Linked DNA regions of Tamandua tetradactyla. The protein of the gene in region 2 purifies or fractionates together with the protein of the main gene of each other region. This does not show direct contact. Links are inferred from orthologs where the notes say so. Each region holds a gene or a part of one and is shown on either strand. Other genes may lie near its edges. The genes, in order: DNAJB1 and BAG5.

Region 1 (9,419 bases), on a different chromosome or scaffold from region 2:
TTTTTAAGAATTTAAGTTTAAATAAAACTGATAAAGACCACTTCTACATTGCAAAGACTATTTATTGGGCAGTGTGTCCCTGGACTGTTTTCAGAAATTCAACTGTTTCAGTGAGAAGACAAAATAACTCCTACCGCTCAATTAGGTTTTGACTTTGAAACATTTTTGTACCCAAGTAGCAATAATGTTTAAAGTAAGGGTAGCTGTTTACTTTATAATAAAACAAGTTCCTTAAAGCAAGCTACAAAGAAAAAGCAGCTTCAGCGTCCTCAAAATAAAGCCATGGCAGGAAGTGGGTCTGCTCTGGGGTGGGGCCCAGCCCTGGGACGACTCCCTAGCTGCTGGAATTCTAGTTCTGGTTTGGCCAGGCATGCCCGACACCCTGCCTGCTCTGGCAAGAACAGAGCAGATGAGTACTTAGTGGGCAAACGGCTCACCTCTTGGCCTCATTACCAGCCCCGGAGCAGGGAAGTCGGGATGTCTGGAAGACAGAACTAGGAGCCAACCCCTCTTCCCCCTTGACTTTAGCCCCAACATTTAACCCCCGCCCCCCCCCCCCCCCCCCAAATAAAAAGAACCAAAGCAACTCTGAATCCACTGCATTCTGGTTTCTTTGGATGTCTGCATCTAGAGTCTGGGCAGGTTGTTTACTCACTCACCCCAGGCCCAGGAGACTTGAGCCCATGCAGAGATCCCTATTACCCCATCCCCTGCCCTCCCACCCATCCCTGAGCCAGCAGAGCCCTCAAACAGAGTCACAAGACTGCTCCCCTGAGGTTAGCATCAGTCTTTAATGCCGTCTGTCTAGCCGCACATTGACAGGTCACATGCTTTGGTCTTGTCGGCAGTGGCAACTTTACAACGAATCTGAAGGGCTGAGCACCAGACTGGCCTCTGGCGAACAGACACTTCTTCCAACACCCCCTTCCCCCAAGATTTCATCCAAATTCCAACCTGGCCCTATACAGAGCAGGACCCGTAGAGGACTGGCTTCGTTTGTGTGCACATTAACTTTATATGGAATTATAAAAACATATTTACAGGCGATCCACTGTGCTCCTGTAATCAGAAGCAAACACCCTTTTATCAAAAGGGATTATAACTAGGGCTGTGCAAAATTCAAAAGGATCAGATCCCTTTGAAAGAATCCCGAGTCCATTAGTTCAGAAGGAAACAAAAACTGATCAGGGCTTCTGTTAATGCTCCAGGTATGCCAGGAGATTGCCTTACAGGAAAAGAAAGGGTGTGAGCTGTGAATGAACACGCTCAGCCTCACCAGAGCTGGGGTCCCAGGGCCTCTTCCACCCTCCGGCCAGAACCCCAGACCCCAGCAGCAGAGGCTGTCTGCACGACTCACTCACTTGAGGCCAGCTCCCTTGGTCCCGCTGGAAGGAGATATTGCTTGTGAGTGCCGGCCAGGCAGTACTGTAGAAATAATCTAGGTTCTCAATTTGAGATGACAGAAGAGAAGACAGCATTCTCCAGGGGAACAGCAAGACATTGAAGATAAATACAGAATAAAACACGGACTGATCACATAACGGAATGGGAAGAGTATACGGTCTGGTAACTAAGGTGGCAGGCTGGACCCAACCCCAACAGCTGCAAGCAAAAGGACTACAGAGGATCAAGTCCAGCTGTGGGTTTGCCTCTCGCCCCACCTGTAGGCTGAGGAGGGGTGGGGGGCTCACACCGGCAGGGGCTGCAGGACCCAGGGGGGCCAACCAGGTGCCTTTTCCTGCACTCCCCACCACCTACCACCCTATCTTTTGAAAAACCACTTAAGTCTAGCACACAACTTTGAAAGATTGTAATATATTCTCTGGAAAACATTCAGCAGTATGAAAGCCCTCCCTGGGCCACCCCGCCCTCTCATGGGCCCACAACTGGTAGAACGGTCCAGAAAGCCTCACGCTCCAGAAAGGTCCCTGGTCAGTCCTTGGGGAGTGCAGGTGACTATATAGGAAGAACCTGCTCCAGTACGGTTCTTGACGTCTGGGGAATCCTTTCAGGGAAGATGACTTCAAATTCAATAATGAGGTCCCCGCGTTTCTCAGGTGTTTTGGGCAGGGGGAGGCCTTCTCCAGGAACTTTTCGCCTCATGCCGGGCCTGATGACATCTTTGAAAACGACGGGTTTGGTCCTGCCGTCCAAGGTGGGGACGTTCACCGTGCAGCCACACAGAGCCTTGGGAAGCAAATGGACAACATTAGATGGAGGATGGCTTAGGAAGCACTACTCCTGCCCAGAAGTTTGGAGACAGGTGAGATCCATCAGACCCCTGCAGCTGGGACCCTGCCTCCAAATCTACTCAGATCACTGGGACAAAACTCTGAAAGAGCCCTAGTCAGTCTGGTTCACTGCCATATCCCCTGAGGCCGGCACACACTAAGCCCTTACAACTATTTGTTGAGGAAATACTGCCTGCTTCAAAGAATAGCCCTGTCCACCGCAGACACTGTGCCACCTAGCACCTTACCTCCCGAAGGCTGATCCTGGCTGGGTAAACGACATCAGAGCCATCTCTCTTAAAGATATTGTGTGGCTTGTCCTTTAAAACAAAGACAATGTCGGCTGGAATGTTGTTGGAGGTCTGGTCTCCTTCCTTGGGGAAGGTGATTTTGGTCCCTTCTTTCCACCCTCTCTTCACTTCAATGGTTAAGATCTTGTCTTCGTTGCGAATGCTCTTTCCGTCAGGGTTCAGTCGCTTGTGGGAGATTTTCATTTTCTTGGTACAGCCGCTATAGATCTCTTCAAGCGAGACCCGGAGGTCGTGGGTGACAGGAGGATCCTGTTTCTTCCTGGAGGGCTCCTGGGAGGGGCGGGAGCGGCCAAAGTTCACGCTGGTGAAGCTACCCATGCCCATGGGGAAGCCGGAGAATGGGTCGTCGATGTCCATGCCTTCCTCTCCGTTCCGCTGGCTGAAAAAGTTGTCAAAGGGATTTCGACCACCAAAGATCTCCGCAAACATGGCATGGGGGTCTCCGTGGAACGTGTAGCTGAAAGAGGTACCATTAGCACCACCGCTGCTCCCACCACTGGGACCACCGCCTTTCAGGCCTGAAAAGCAAAACCGGAAGTTGTCAGGCAGCTAGCCAGAACTTCTCTGGAAAGGTTTACATAAGAGAAAAGAACTTGGGAACCCTCCGAAGACAAATTCTGTGGGATCTGTTAAGAAAAGCAAGGAAGAAGCCGAAGCCTCTGCAGCACCAGATGAGACTGACAGTGGATACCAGCCTAAGCCCCGGGTTGGGCATCCCTCGGTGCCACTCAGGCTAGGCCATCTCTTGGCTGGTTCATCCTCCCCACCAACGTTATTTCAAGGATTTACCAGAAACCAGATGCAAAGGCCGGAGTCAGTATAAGCCCTCCCTGTTTGCTCTTGACATCTTCCGGCTAGTGGTGTGCATGGGAAGAGTAGAAAAAAATAAGAAATAAACTGACGTTTTCAAGTTGTCACCATCCTGTACCAACATTAGCTGCCACCATCTTACACAAAGTCGGCTCATTTCTTGAGCCCAAAAGCCAGGGTGAGTCACCAAGGGGCAAGTGGACAACAGGAAAATCTCTTTCTCTTCCCCCTGAGGAGGGCCATCCTAGCCCGCCTCTCCTACGTGCCGGGCCCGGTGAACACCGCAGTCGCCCGCGGGGGGCGGGGGGGGGGCGATAGGCGCCCCCTCCCCGCAGGTCGTGCCCTATGCGGGCCGCGGGCCCAGGTGCGCCCAGGTGAAGCCAGGTGCACCCGGGACCGTGGGCGGCGGCGCCCAGGGAGGAGTAGCCCGGGCTTGCTAGAAGCTTCTGGGCGAGCAGCGCAGCCAGGGCTCCTCCTCCCAGGGCGGGGACCCCGCGGGCAGGCGGCGGCGGCAGCTCCCCGGGCAGGCTGGGATCGCCCCCCAAGCCTCGGTTTCCCCGCCTGTCAAACGGCGGAGGCGCGCCTCGGCCGCACGCACACACCTTCCTCCCCGTAGCGGTCGAAGATGTCGCGCTTGCGCGGGTCGCTGAGCACGTCGTAGGCCTCGGCGATCTCCTTGAACTTCTCCTCGGCGCCGGGCTCCTTGTTCTTATCCGGGTGGTAGCGCAGCGCCTGGCGGCGATAGGCCCGCTTGATCTCCTCGTCCGACGCGCCGCGGGCCAGGCCCAGCGTCTGGTAGTAGTCCTTGCCCATAGCCCCCGTCTGCGGCCCGCCGCCCCGCTTTTGCCGCGCCCCGGCTCCGCCGCCGCCGCCCGCTCCCAGACTGTATATACCCGCCCGGCGGAAGCTTCCAGAGCCCGCCAGCCCCCTCCAGAACCTTCCGCCCCGCCCCCCGCACTGCGCCGGCCAATCGCCGCCGCCCGCCCCGCGACGCGCGACGTCCGGGGCGGGGCTGTGCCGCCAACGGCCGACGGCGCGCGGCCCCGCCCCTCCCGCCAGCAGCCTCGGCAACGCCTCGCTGCGGCGCGTCCTCCCCCCCGGCTGGAGGCGGCCCCGCCCAGCTCTCCCCCGGGAGAGCCAATCGGGGTTTGCTTCCGCCCCGCCCGCCGGCTAGGCTGGCCGCGAGCCCCGCCCTCTGCGCGACTCCGCGAGTGATGACGCGCTCCCACCCTACGACCGGCCGCCCTCGCCGGGAAGGGGCGGGACTAGCTGTGGGCCCGCCCTCCGAATATGTTCCGCCGGGTCCCCAGGAGCTGTTTAATCCGCCGGCCCGCCAAATCCCAGGGCCCCGCCGGGTGGCTCAGGGGGAGTGGCAGTGCCTCTCCTTTCCCCAGCCCCACCCCCCAGCCCCACCCCGCCCCCTGTAATATGGGCATAAAAAATACCCCTGACCTCACCATACAGGTGATGCAAAGGTCACCTTTCCGGAGAAGTGTTCCAGTCCCTTCCCTCCTACATTTTGCTTTGACCGATATCTCAAAAGCACCTGCCACTGAAATCTGAAATAATCTGGCCCCTTGGCTTTCATCCTGACCCCCCCCACACAAACCCCGGGGCCTGTGGCCTCTGCCAGGGCAGGGACCTGGTCCGGTCTCCACTGGGACCCGGTGCCTGGGACAAAATCTGGCCAGCTGTGCACCTTTCATAAATATTCCTGGTTGCTCGGACGCAGCTGCTTCTTTTTCTCTCCCCACTACCTTTTTGATTTGGGGGATGGACACAGCTCTCAGTGCTTCCATTTGCTCATGTGTGGAACAGTCTGAGTTTGGCGTGCCCCTGACCAAGGACAGAATTGATGAGGAAAAGCGGTGCGGAAAGAGGCGTAGGGAAGAAGGGCCAGGGTGAACGGCGGTTCTGGAGGACAGCCCAGGAGGCCAGCGCTCTAGAGCCTCTGGAGCCAGAAGGTGGAGTCTGATTCCCAGTTCCAGCACTTCCTGGCTGCGTGAGTTTCGGCTGGGTCCTTGACTGTTCTCAGCCTCAGTTGTGCCATCTGTACAATGGGATAACTGTTGTATCTTTTGTTCTGAAGTTTACAAGAGTTGACATTTGTCAAGTGCTGAGGACAGCTGTGAAAAGGGTGAATTACCAGTTTGTTCAGTGGTGGGCTGCTGAGCCACCCCGTTCCTGGGCAGCATCACAGCAAAACCTCTGGTGACTGCTTGCCTGCTCTGGTGCAGGCTGAGATTTCCAAGAAAGAAAACCCAGCAGCCTTCTCCTGGTGCCTGGACCTCCCTGCCCACTCACTGACCCCAAGAAAACCCTGTCAGCAAAGACTTTGGACTAGGACAGGGCAAGGGTCCTGAACCAGTTATAAGGGAGAGAGAATTTGATACTTAAAAAGTTGTGTGAATATTGATTGGAGAGGCTATTCTGGGGGCTATTCTTATGCAAGCTTCAGTGAAATATTGCTATTTACCTAGGTTTGCCAAACCCCAACCAAAACCATTCCTGCCAACCTTAAAGAACTTTATCTGAGCTTCTACAGAGGTTCCATGCACTCGAGTAACTTTCCTGAAACCTATAACCTCCAGATGGGCTCCTAGGCCAGATAAGTCCTGAAACCCAGAGGGGCCAGCCTCTCCAAGAACATCAACTAGTTCCATTCCCTTATCCTATACTGCTGATAGCCCTTTCCAACATGAAAAAGCTAGAATGGGCATAGCCCAAATACCCCTAAAGATTGGCAGAAGCATCAAAGGAGAAGGAGGAGTTATAACAGAGAAGACAGGATTTAACAAATGAGTATGATTGCTGAATGGTTATATTGGTATTTCTTTTAATCTCCAGTGTCTTGGAACAGCTAGAAGGAAAAACCTAAAATTGTGAAACTGTAACCCAAAGCAATAATTGAAATCTGTTCTATTTGTTCCATTGTACTATGAAATTTATTGCTTTTTGGTATATGTTATATTTCATAATAAAAAAATGTTTAAAAAAAGTTATGTAAACAAATAATAGCTGAATAGGAGGCGAGTCACCATCGTGGGGGAACAAAACAGAGCTTTATGGACTTCCTTACACTCTAGGATTTTATAGTGTGACGTAATTGGGAGTTACAAATGTGGCAGTGACATCTTTTTGCTGATGTTTTGGCCTCCATAGGTCTTAGCCAGGACTTAACTTGGCTCTGGTTTTACAAATGGTTCTTTCCAGACCCGAGGGCAAGGAAACGCTGGGCCACGGGTCACTCCCTTCCTCCTGAAACAAGCCAGGGACACGTTTTAGAAGTTTTTTTTTTTTTTAAAAAAAACAAAGCTCTCCTTTGACCTAGGCAAATGAGTGGTCATTTCAGAATAGTACAGGGAAAGTGGCCTCCGTGGAAACCTCAGCCAATCTTGGGCTCTCTGAGAAGCTAAGAGGGCAGGGCTGAGGTCAGCCTGCCACTGTGCAAATCCTGGACCCATTGTTTATGCTTCTTTACTGACTCATTGATCTTACACAACTTGCTTGATCTTTTGGAGCTTCAGGTCACTCCTCTGTAAAATGGGAATAAGGGAGGACGGTCCCTGCTGAGGTTGCTAGGTGGACCATGTGAGAGAGGCCGGGTAATTAATATTTTAATGACAGCTGCTGCTGACCTGGCTGTGCTTTGTGCCAGGCGTGTTCATGCATGAATTCATTTAAGCTGCCGGACAGCCTCTGAAGTGGAACTAGTGTTACCTCCATTTTACAGGTGGAAAACTGAGGCCCTGAATGGTTACATGACTTGTCTAAGGTTACCCATTCAGTAAAGTGCTGAAGCGTAGCAGGCTTGGCATACTTAAGTAGTATGTAATGCAGGTGATAATAGAGCTTTAATTAAAAAAAAATAGCCTTACAAGTGCATCAACTGTTCACCTGTACATCCAAAGACTTTCAAGAGCAAGCCGGCCGTATGATCTGGAAATCCCACTCCCGTGAAACACCTGAGTGAAATGAAGTCTGTTCATATCCGCCGTGGGTGCTCACTGTGGTTTTGTCTATAATCACCAAAAGGAAATAACCGGAATGTCCTCCAATGAGTTAGTGGATAAACGAATGTGATCTGTATGTATGAAGGAATACTACTCTGCTATAAAAAAGAACTGGTGACTGCTACATGAAACAATGCAGACAAACCTCAAATGCATTGTGTTTAGTGAAAGAAGCCAGACTCAAAAATCCATCTACGAGAATAAAAAAGTATTTGCAAAGCCCCCTGGAGGAACTGGGGAGAAAGGAGGAAATCTTAAACTTCCCCTCCTGGGGAATTCCTGATATTCTCGCAAGCAGTGGGGACAACCAATTTAATAGGCCGAGCCCTTGATCTTGGGGTTTGCCCCTATGAAACTTATTGCCTCAAAGGAGAAGCTAAAGCCTACTTATAATAATGCCTAAGAGTCATCCCCAGAGAACCTCTTTCGTTACTCAGATGGGGCCTCTCTCTCTAAGCCAACTCAGTAGGTGAACTCACTGCCCTCTGCCTTATGTGGGACATGACTCCCAGGGGTGTAAATCTCCCTGGCAGTGTGTGAAAGAACTCCTGGGATGAGCTGGGACTGGCATCACAGGATTGAGAAAGTTTTCTTGATCAAAAGGGGAAGAGAGAAATGAGAAAAAATAAAGTGTCAGTGGCTGAGAGATTTTAAACAGAGTTGAGAAGCTATCCTTGAGGTTATTCTTATGCATTATATAGATATCCTTTTTTAGTGTATGGTGTATTAGAGTGGCTGGAGGGAATTACCTGAAACCGTTGAACTGTATTTCATATTCCAGTAGCCTTGATTCTTGAAGATGATTATATAACTATATAGCTTTTACACTGTGACCGTGTGATTGCGAAAACCTTGTGGTTGATGCTCCCTTTATCCAGGGTATGGACAGAGGAGTGAAAAAAAACAAGACAAAAAAATAAATAATAAGGGAGACAAAGGGTAAAAAAAAAAAAGGGTAGATTGCAATACTAGTGGTCAATGAGAAGGGGTATGGGATGTATGGGTTTTTCTCATTCCTTTTTATTTCTTTTTCTGGAGTGATGCAAATGTTCTAAAATTGATCATGGTGATGGATACACAATTATGTGATGATATTGTGAGCCACTGATTATATACTTTGGATGGACTGTGTGATGTGTAAAGATATCAATAAAAAATAGTTTAAAAAACAAACAAACATGCTGCCTGATGTATGATTCCATTCATAGGAACTTTTGGAAAAGGCAAAACTATAGCTACTGAAAGCAGGCCAGTGGTTACCAGGGCTGTGGCTGGTTATAAAGGGGCATGAGGGAATCTTTTGGGGTGGTGGAAATATGTTTCTATAGCTTGCTTGTGGTAGAAGTTATGTGATTGTGTATGTTCAGAACTATACACTGATCTGGGTGAATTTTGCTGTATGTAAATTATACCTCAATGAAAAAAACCAAAGAAACATATTCACAATAGCCCAAAGGTGCAAGGAACTCAAATGTCCATTGCAGATGAATGGATCGACAAAATGTGATGTTTATGTACCATGGGATATTATTTGGCCATAAAAAGGAGTGAATTTCTGACGTGTGACAACACGGATAAATCTTGAAGATGCCATGTTGAGTGAAATAAGCCAGACACAGAAGGAATAATATTACATGATTTTGCTTACAGGAAATGTCTAGAATAAGAATAAGCCAATTTGTAGAGCAAGAAAGTAGATGAGATGCCTGATGGGGAGAGCAAGGAAATGAGGAGTTATTGCTTAATAGGCACAGAGTTCTTATTTGGGTGATGAAAGGTTTTGGTAATGGATGTATTATAACTTTGTGGATGTAGTAAATGCCACTGAACTGTAGTCTTAAAAGTGGTTAAAATGGGAAACTTTGTGTTATATATGTGTTACTGCAATAAAAATTTAAAAGGATGGAGGGAAAAAACCACACATACACAAATATCCTCTGGATTTAAAAAGAAGGGAAGCCAGGAGAGGGCCTGGGAAACCTCTCTCCCAGGTCCCTGACATGATAGAAAATTGCTAACCAGCCTTGGCTTGTCGGCTCTTGTCTTCTTCAGAC
Region 2 (9,941 bases):
TACGCATTGTACTGCTTTTGTGCTTGGACCTTACTATATCTAATGAAAAATGTTCGCTTTTCTCACAATTTTTTTAGCATTGTTTAAGATTATACTTTTTTGAATATTCTGAAATATCTGCATTTTAATGTTTGTAACCACCCATTTTAAAAGTTGATTACAAAAGTTGCCTCTATTCCAGATTTTGATGAGAAGAAAAACAGCCCAAAACCAAAATCAAGCCATACCATATCATACAGATAAGGACCAAAATGGCAAAGTTAATGTGCTATAATATTTGTTTTGCAACATCAACAGCAGCAAAGATACTGAATATAATTTGCTTGAATCATAAATACTGAGGTTGAGAAATGCACGTATAAATCATATTTAGGCTCAATGAACTGAAAGCTCTCTATAAATACATAGCAGTGTATATAAAGTGCAAAACAAGCGATATCAGAAGTGAGATGTCTGGCATTTTAGTACTCCCATTCATCGGATTTCAGGTCGAGATAGCTGAGAATGTTCTGCGCGAGCTTCACAGCCTGCTTCCTGGCAGCCTTGCACTTCTCCTCTCCTTGTGGATCAACAGCATCCAGGGCCAGCAGCTGCTTCGTGAGCAGTTCTTCCAATCGAATATAATTCTTATCGGTCCGATTTCCACCAAACGAAAGAACTTCCTCTTGGATCTCTGACAAGTTTCCAAGGACGTCCCAGACTGCTTTGTGTGATGGGTGCTCCTCAGAAACAAATAACTTTCTCTTCTCAAGGGCTTCCTTCAAGTCGATATAAGTTATCAGAGTTTGCACTTCAATCACAGCTCTTCTCCTGGCTTCTCGGATGCAAGGGTTTTTTTCAAGACTTACCTCGTCCAACTGTCCAATCAAACCCTGCAGTTCCATTTTGCAGCTCAGATACAATTCAGAAGGATTCTGTGCTTGAAGAAGTTCATTTTTTATTTCTCTCATTCTCTTGAGGACCTTTTCAATTTTTAAAATGGAATGATTCTGACCCAGGTCAAAAGCATATGTAGTGTCTGCTTCCTCCTCTAAATCCAAATATTTCAATAATTTGTTGATATCTTCTACTACTTCCCTTCGATAATTCCTGATTTCTGTACGCCCGCACACATCTAAAGCATCCAGATCGGCAATCAACCCCGAGAGCACACAGGATAAGTGCCTGCAGGTCTCGTTGCTGTTCACGCCCATCAGAAGTGCAATCAGAGTGCCTCTAGCCTTGTTCACGTCACACATCACAGAGTTAATTTTGGCAACTGACGGATGTACATCTTCTGAAAGTGGCAAGGAAGGCTGCTTCTTCATGCAGTCTTCAATGATCTCTTGCACAGCACAGATTTTGGTTAAAGTGTGATACCTCGCTTTCCGCAATGAGATCTTTCCTCCAGTTTTAACGTGTGTCAGTCTCAAAATGATATCCTGGATGCCTTCTTCGAATTCATCAGTTACACAGTTGCCTCCGCTATAGAATGGCACAATCTTTTCTTTCACCAAGGACTGGGCTTCCTTAAAAATATTCTGTATTTCCACCCGATGTGGGTGGTTTGCATTCTGCTCCAATTCTTTAAGAAGACGCTCAGTCTCCTGTGCCGCCCTCTTTCTAGCTTGCTGAATATCTCCTTTTCCTTCGGTATCTACAGAGTCTATTTCAAAAAGCTGTTTTGTTAGAATTCGCTCTAGTTTCTTGTAATTCTTGTCATCTGACACACCACTGAAGCCAATTACTTGCTGTTCTATACTTTTCACTTCCTTTTGGATTTCCTGAAGCCTACTAATAGAAGGGTGTTGATTTCCCATATCCATACTTTTGTTGCTTTCAGTTTCACAAGCACTAAAAGATGACAAGAATGATAACTTATTACAGCACAAAGTCTCTGCAGAATGGCAATCATATATTAAGTCTAAAATTTTCACTTAAAAATATACTTAGAATAAAAGGGCTTATCATTATTGTAATCCCAAAGACAGACATACTCAAGTACAGAAAGAAGGGTGACACATCAACTCTTTCTCCTGAAAATAACCTACACATGGCAGAGATCATAAACAGCATCACTGTAGTTAGAGCATGAGCTGGAATTCTGTCAGCTTCAAGTTTCTTCAGCTGGAAGAGAACAGCATATGCTCTCCTAGAGAAGTATGGCATCTCCCCCCTCTCTACATGGGACATGACTCCCAGGGGTGTGGACCTTCCCAGCAGTGTGGCACAGAAATCCTAGAATGGGCTGGGACTCAGCACCAAGGGACTGAGAAATCCTTCTGGACTGAAAGGGGGAAGAGAGAAGTAAGACAAAATAAAGTGTCAGTGGCTGACAGATTTCAGAGTCAAGAGGCCCTTTTTAGTTTAATGTGTATTAGAGAGGCCAGAGGGAAGTGCCTGAAACTGTAGAGCTGTGTTCCAGTAGCCACGTTTCTTAAGGATGATCGTATAATGATACAGCTTTCACAATGTGACTGTGTGATTGTGAAAACCTTGTGTCTGATGCTCTTTTTATCTACGGTATGGACAGATGAGTTAAAAATATGAATTAAAAATAAATAAATAATGGGGAACAAATGTTAAAATAAGTTGAGTAGATTGAAATACTAGCGATCAATGAAAGGGAGTAGCAGTAAGGGGTACAGAAAAAAACAGGGGAAACAAAGGTTAAAATATATTGGGTAGATGGAAATACTAGTGGTCAATGAGAGGGAGGGGTAAGAGGTATAGTATGTATGAATTTTTTCTTTTTATTTCTTTTTCTGGAATGATGTAAATGTTCTAAAAAACGATCATGGTGATGAATTCACTACTGTGTGACGATATCGTGAGCCATTGATTGTACACTATATATGGAATGTTTGTATGTTAAGAATGTTCGTATTTGTATGTTGTTTTGGTTTGTCAATAAAAAAAGAATGACGTGAGGGCTAACTATTAGCTTGGAAATAACACAAATATTTTAGGTCTTAAGTTAGGAAGCTATTTTTTGGACACCAGCAGGGCATCTCTGCGGAACATAAAGAATGGGGGAGTAAAACTAGCTTTACTAGCCTTCCAAACACTAATCAATTTCCAGAAAAAGTAACTTTAACCAAGAGGAACGGAGCCACTGGAAACAAGTACCAGAAATTCTCAAACACCCTAAATGTGCCCGTTTCCACATTCCTTTCCGTCCCTTTATGCACTTCTCCAAAGCTACCCGGTTTTTCAAATCCAACCGCACCCTATCTTCCCAGCAGAAAGAAAATCCCGTGGGGAAAGGAAGAGTGAAGGCTCAACCTTGGGCTCTGGCGGATCAGGACTTCCCCAGGCTCTACTACGCGCCCCTCCTAAACAAACAGAAAACAACACAACAAAAAACACCCCGCAGAAACGTGACTCGGCTCCGATGAATTCGCTCGCCTCCCATTAGGGTCCAAAATGGCTTAACCCCTTTTGTGTGTATCCTCGGGTTTCTACCGAACGGCTCACTGAAGAATAATCGATTGAAACCAATTCCGTGTGGGCGTCGGAACCACGCAGGCCTTCCCGACGCCCACGAAGGGCAGCCTGCGTTCCTGCCTCCCTCCTCACCCTTCCCCCTCCGAACTTTACCCAGGAAAGATCTAAGCTGGTTGCGGCCTTGGCTTCCCGTAGGTGAGGTGGCGAGGTGTAAGATCAGCCCTCTACGGGGTGAGGGACCGGAGCTGGGCCCCAAGCTGCATCCCTCTCACCCCGCCCCGCTAGGTCTGAAAGGGGAAGCCGGTGAAGGGGCCGGCGGCGGAGGCGGCAGCTACTGGCCGCAGCGGCCTCTCCGGGCGTCTCGGCCCGGGCCCCAGGACGGGCCGGCCGGCTCTGACCTCACAATGGGCCCGCGCGGAGAGGGGGCAGCGGCGCTCGGAGCCCGGAAGCCCATCCGGGAGGCCCGGCCAGTGCGCAAGGCCGCGCGGAGTACGGCTCCGGGAGCTGGGGCCGGCCCGCGGCGAGCCCCGCGCAGAGAGCAGACCGCGCCCGCCGCCCCGGCCGAGGGAGACGGCGCCGCGTCCCCGCAGGGCTGCGCCACGCTCACCCGTCCGGTCCGCGCCATCGCGACCTCTGCACCTCTGCACCGCCACCCCTGTCGCAGCTCCGCCCCGGGCCGAGCGCCGCCAAGCCCGGGAAAAACGCCCTCTGGCCCCCGCGCCTCACCGCGCCGCGCCCCGCCGCCAGCCGTCAGGCACAGCAGCCCGGAGCCACCCCGGCCACCGAAGAGCCGCCGGGATCCAGCAGCGCGACCCCGCAGCCCCGCTGTCCACTCGACCCCTCACACCGCGGGGAAGCGCTCAGTCGGCCGCGCTCCGCCCCCCGCCTCCGGCTTTGCGATCCTGCCGTAAGGCAGCTTCCTCGCCGTCGCGCCGCTGTCGTGCGCCGCGGGAGCCGTGTACGCGGGGCAATGGGGGCCCTAAGGCCCCCGAGGAAGACTTCCCTTCCTCTTCTGTTCCGCACTTTGGCGGGTCCCGGCCGCCAGCCGGCCCTTGAGCGCGGCGCCGAGCGCAGGGATGCGGCGCCGAGCCGAGTAAGCGGGGAGCACGGAGAGGTTAGGTCGGGAGGGGTGACCGCAAGAGGTGAGGAGCCGGTCTGTGCCCTGAGGCCCGCTCCTCGACCCCTCACACCCGCGTGGACCCCTGCGGAGAGGACTGAGGCCCTCGGGAGCAGGGTCCCCCAGCCGGCCCGGGGCTGGTGCAGAGCAGCACGCGCGACCGAGTGGGTCGGGGGCATGGAGAATGGGGAGGTCCTGGGCGAGGGGCGCCGGGACCCCCATCCGGATTAGGTCAGTAGCTGCGAAAGTTCCTGCGTCCCCTCCTTGGTCTAGATGAATCTGAGTATGCCGGCCACCTCCATGGGGGAAAGCTGACTGCGCTTTTGTTAGTCTAAGGTAGTCAGCAAGTTTGGACGCACCTGTTTTATTCTCGAGGGTATTTATATTGTATATTTGAAGAGCTCTTGGTGTGGTCAGCGGGTAACTTTTCGTTCTCGTGCCTTGACTCCGTTAAGATAATTAGTGCTTTTTTCCCAGCGATGGCGAGCTTTATCATCCAACTTTTGTAGGGCTTCACTTTGAATCGTTATTCTTATTTGGAAGCTCTATGGGCATATATACACTTGACTGCCCAAAGATCCACGAAGTATGTCTATAGCAAGAGAGGCAAGCAGCTTTCATAAATTGCACTTTTGTTGTGAAGTATATTTGGTTTAAAGGAGGCGGAGGCCTTGATTGCAGCTGTCAGATGAAAATGTTGACTAATGGTGTGGAATGGGCTGCAGATAAAATATTTAAACAAATCAAACAAATACTAACACATTATTTAGCAAGGGGTTAATGTGGGGAGCTGGAAAGCTTGATAGGAACAATAATTAAAGGATGAAAAAAAAGTTAAGAATTCCAAAACGTGCGTGCCTTTTAAATGTTCATTTCTATTGCTCTGTGGCTTTTAGCACACTTTTATAAATGCCGGTTTTGAACTTCTGTCCTGGCTTACAGTTTAGGCAAGGCCTTACGCTGGCAGGTAGTTAACCAGACCACAGCCCTGGCTCTATCCTATGACACAGAAATTTACCCAGCACCTTATTTCCTTGAACAGAAAGATAAAACAGGTATCTTGAAAATCCTCTCGGAAGGCAAACTAGAAATCAACCGAGAACTTTGCCCATGGCGAGGACTTACCTAGGCTGCTTGATGAACTAGGAGTCCTGGAAAACAGAAGAAGGACGCACAAGCCAGGATTTCTCTGTTGTCATAAAGGCCTTTCCTTCAAGTGAGATAAGTCTTACCCTGGGTCTGATACTCAGGGTGAGGCCTCTCTCTGCCTTTTGTAGTCTCAGTGACTTACAGCAAGCCCTGTGTGGGCACCTGCTGGCTTCCCTAAACCTGCTGAAGGTGACGATTGTGACGATGGTGCTGACCAGATAAAAAGTGGAGTGGCTGGCCAGTGAGTCAGGTCTTGCCCAAATCTAGCATGGTGACTTGTGTTGTTTTTCTTAGAACTTGAGTTCCCTATTAGCTAGATATTGTATGCAACATAAAAGAACAGTTTTTGCTTAGGGCGATTTGTATTTCCTATGTGTTATCGTCTTTGTATGGCTCCTGAGAGCACAGCAGTTTCTCCAGGTAATGACATACCTGCAGCTGAGAGAGATTGCTGTCTTTCAGTCTAGAAATTTAAATGTATCTTGTTAAAAGTAACAGGTTGTGAATCTTGTTTTCTTTATCTAGTTGTTACCTTTTAATCCTTCCTGTCTAGCAAGCCATATTTTTTTTTTTTTTTTTTTTAATACATGGGCAGGCACCGGGAATCAAACCTGGGTCCTCTGGCATTCCAGGCAAGTGTTCTTGCCTGCTGAGCCACCGTGGCCTGCCCCAGCCATATTTTTTTGTTTGTTTGTTTTTGACTTTCTATTTTGAAATACTTTCCAACTTACAAGTCAGTTACAAAAATAATAAAAAATACCCCAAAATATCCCTCCCTCCTCCTAGATACCCACATCCCACTATTTTAACATTTTGCTACATTTGTTGTATCATCCTTTATCTATCTATCTATCTATCTATCTATCTATCTATCTATCTATCTATCTATCTGTCTATCTATCATCATCATCATCTATCTGTCTGTCTATTTATCAATCCATTTCCGGAACACCTGAGTGTAGGTCATATAATTTAAACTTGAACACTGAAAATTGCCTTTTTACTTTTCCTAAAATCAAGGATATTCACTTATTTGACCACTTGAGTACAGCTGTCAAGTTCAAGAAAGTTAACATTGACATAAAGCTTATAGTCTATATTCCGATTTTTATTATATCCCAATAATGTCTTTTTTTATTAATTAAAAAAAATTAACAAACAAAAACATTTAGATACCATTCCATTCTACATATACAATCAGTAATTCTTAATATCATCACATAGTTGCATATTCATCATTTCTTAGTACATTTGCATCGATTTAGAAAAAAAATAAAAAGACAACAGAAAAAGAAATAAAATGATAATAGAGAAAAAAAAGACTATACATACCATTCCCTTTACCCCTCGCTTTCATTTACCACTCTTTCAAACTGAATTTATTTTAACATTTGTTCCCCCATTCTTTATTTTTATTCCATATGTTCTACTCTTCTGTTGATATAGTAGCTAAAAGGAGCATCAGACATAAGGTTTTCACATTCACAGTCTCATTGTGAAAGCTATATCATTGTTCAATCATCATCAAGAAACATGGCTACTGGAACACAGCTCTACATTTTCAGGCAGTTCCCTCCAGCCGCTCCACTACATCTTGAACAACAAGGTGATATCTACTTAATGCATAAGAATAACCTCCAGGATAACCTCTCGACTCTGTTTGGAATCTCTCAGCCATTGACACTTAGTCTCATTTCACTCTTCCCCCTTTGGTTGAGAAGTTTCTCTCAATCCCTTGATGTTAATTCTCAGCTCATTCTAGGGTTTTTCTCAGTCCTTTGATGCTGAGTCTCAGCTCATTCCAGGATCTCTGTCCCACGTTGCCAGGAAGGTCGACACCCCTGGGAGTAATGTCCCACGCAGAGAGGGGGAGCGTGATGAGACTGCTTGTCATGTTGGCTGGAGAGAGGGGCCACATCTGAGCAACAAAAGAGGCTCTCTTGGGGGTAACTCTTAGGCCTAAATTTTAAGTAGAATTGACCTATCCTTTGTGGGGTTAAGTTTCATGTGAACAAACCCAAGGACTGGGGGCTCAGCCTATAGCTTTGGTTGTCCACACTGTTTGTGAGAATATCTCTTAGGGAAGTTGAATTTCTCCCAACTCTCACCATTCCCCGAAGGGGGAGCAAGCCATATTTTTTATTAGTTCTTGGCTTTGCCCTCACTTTTTTAGTTAAGGAGTCCTGTGTTCCCATCTGGGACCTCTGGACACCAGGTTTTAAGAGAAAAATATAGAATTTAGAGTTAGGCACTGTTCTTCCTTCCAACCCCATATTAAAACTCACCTCTTAAGTGTCAGTAGTCACTTCCTGCCTGCTTGTACCATGTATGCTGCTGTGGTTTTTATCATTGGTTCCTAAACTAGTCTTGCATTAGAATCACCTGGAATGCATTTTCCTTTATTTTAAAGAAATTGTAGGTTTACAGGAAAACCATGCATAAAGTACAGAGTTCCAAAATAACCTGGAAGGCTTTAAAATAAATATTGAGGCCCATTCCGGTGATTCTGACTTGACTGAGCCTAGGGTATGGCCTGGATGTCAGGATTTTTAAGAGTGTGTCTCATAAGCTGCCAAGTATGAGAATCATTAATGTTTGCTTGTAGTCCTGAATTTTATTAACATTTTTAGGCATAGTTAACATTTTTTGACTGTATATTAACATTTAGCATTAAAAGTGTATTAACATCTGGGAGGCCACGGTGGCTCAACAGGGCGAGTTCCCTCCTGCCATACCGGACACCTGGGTTTGATTCCTCGTGCCTGCCCATGCAAAAAAAAAAAGTATATCAACTTTTTTATTTTGCTACTTTTTCATTAAGGAGAATGATCTTCAAACCCCAAAGTATGGATTCAGAATAAACATCGTAAGGAAGAAGTTAAAACTGAGGTAAATGAGAACCTGGTGAGAGGTTTTGGGCATGGAATTTTCAAGTCTAACATGGATATTTTTAGTATTTAAATGGCTTTCAATAAATAGTTGCTAAAACAAAAACTGGGGCAGGAGGAACCTTTAAAAAGCTTGTAGTTTATTTTATAGATGAGGCAGTTGGGGCCCAGAGAAGTGCAGTGGTTTGCCTGGTGTTGTACAGCATAGTCAGGACTGAAACCTTGGTTTTTGACTCCCAGGCCAGTAATCTAATTTTATCAAATGCTTTTTCTTCATCTACTAAAATGATTATCTGATTTTTCTCTTTATTTTGGTAATGTGGAGAATTGTATTGATTTTCTTTTTCTTTTTTTGTTATTTTTTGATTGTGGAAAATTTCAAACATATACGAAGGGTGACAGAAGAATGTCATGAATCACTAAGTATCCATTTCCCTGCTTCAGCAATTATCCATGCTGTTTATTTCATTTTTACCTCCATCCATTCCCTCCCTGTTCCTTATTATTTATTATTTATTTTTTGGCAAATATAAAAAAATCACATTTCATCTGTATTTGACTGTATATCTTTAAAAGATTCAGACAAAAAAACGTAAACACTATACCTTTTCACACTTGGAAACATTATAATTCCTTAATTTCATCAGATAGTATAATCAGTGCTCAGATCTCTTCTACTGTCTTAGAAATGTCGTATTTTCTTTCACAGTTTGTGTCAGGATCCAAATACAACCTACACATTGTCATTGATATTTTTGATCTCCTTAATTTGTAGTTCTAACTTTATTTCTCCTGCCCTTTTTAAGCAGTTTGTTTAAAGAAAAGATTATATGTCCGCGAGAATTTCCCAGTCTGGACTATATCCCCAATGGTGTAATTTTACGTGCTTCTCTGCTCTTCAGAATTTCCTGGGAATTGACAGCTGCATGCTAGCGCTTACAGGAGCCTTCCCCACATTCAGGTTTAATGTCACTTTTGTTTTTCTTTTGAAAGACTACTTCATTGGTGGTGTGTTTTTTCATCCATTCATTTTCTATTAAACTAACTTTGCACTCCTAGTATAAACCCAACGTGGTCCTGAACTACTGTCCTTTTTTTAAAAAATATTTTTATTGGTAAAATAACATATAAATATAAACATTCCTAACATAAAACATTCTATACATGGTGTACAATCAGTGGCTCACTATATCATCACATAGTTGTGTATTCATCACCATGTTTTTTAGAACATTTGTATCACTTCAGAAAAAGAAAAAAGAAAAAAACTCATACATCCATACCCCTTACCTCGCCCTCTCATTAACCTCTAGTATTTCTATCTCCCCAATGTATTTTAACCTTTGTTCCCCCTATTTGTT

The links.
Region 1: the proteins of BAG5 (region 2) and DNAJB1 purify together in Homo sapiens (affinity purification with mass spectrometry; 3 studies listed by BioGRID and IntAct, with this or other methods). This does not show direct contact. The link is inferred for Tamandua tetradactyla from reciprocal best matches to the Homo sapiens genes BAG5 and DNAJB1.

The regions. Positions count from the first base shown.
Region 1 is NC_135337.1:88,456,097-88,465,515, reverse strand, and holds DNAJB1 (dnaJ homolog subfamily B member 1), read right to left. Parts: upstream 4,260-9,419; 5' UTR 4,166-4,259; coding exon 3,955-4,165; intron 3,061-3,954; coding exon 2,480-3,060; intron 2,188-2,479; coding exon 1,957-2,187; 3' UTR 773-1,956; downstream 1-772. UniProt on the Homo sapiens protein: Interacts with HSP70 and can stimulate its ATPase activity. Stimulates the association between HSC70 and HIP. Negatively regulates heat shock-induced HSF1 transcriptional activity during the attenuation and recovery phase period of the heat shock response.
Region 2 is NC_135340.1:89,303,360-89,313,300, reverse strand, and holds the start of BAG5 (BAG family molecular chaperone regulator 5), read right to left. Parts: upstream 4,155-9,941; 5' UTR 4,034-4,154; intron 3,900-4,033; exon of another isoform or gene 3,580-3,899; intron 1,834-3,579; 5' UTR 1,806-1,833; coding exon 462-1,805; 3' UTR 1-461. Other genes in the region: COA8 (cytochrome c oxidase assembly factor 8), read left to right, coding at 4,397-4,519. UniProt on the Homo sapiens protein: Co-chaperone for HSP/HSP70 proteins. It functions as a nucleotide-exchange factor promoting the release of ADP from HSP70, thereby activating HSP70-mediated protein refolding.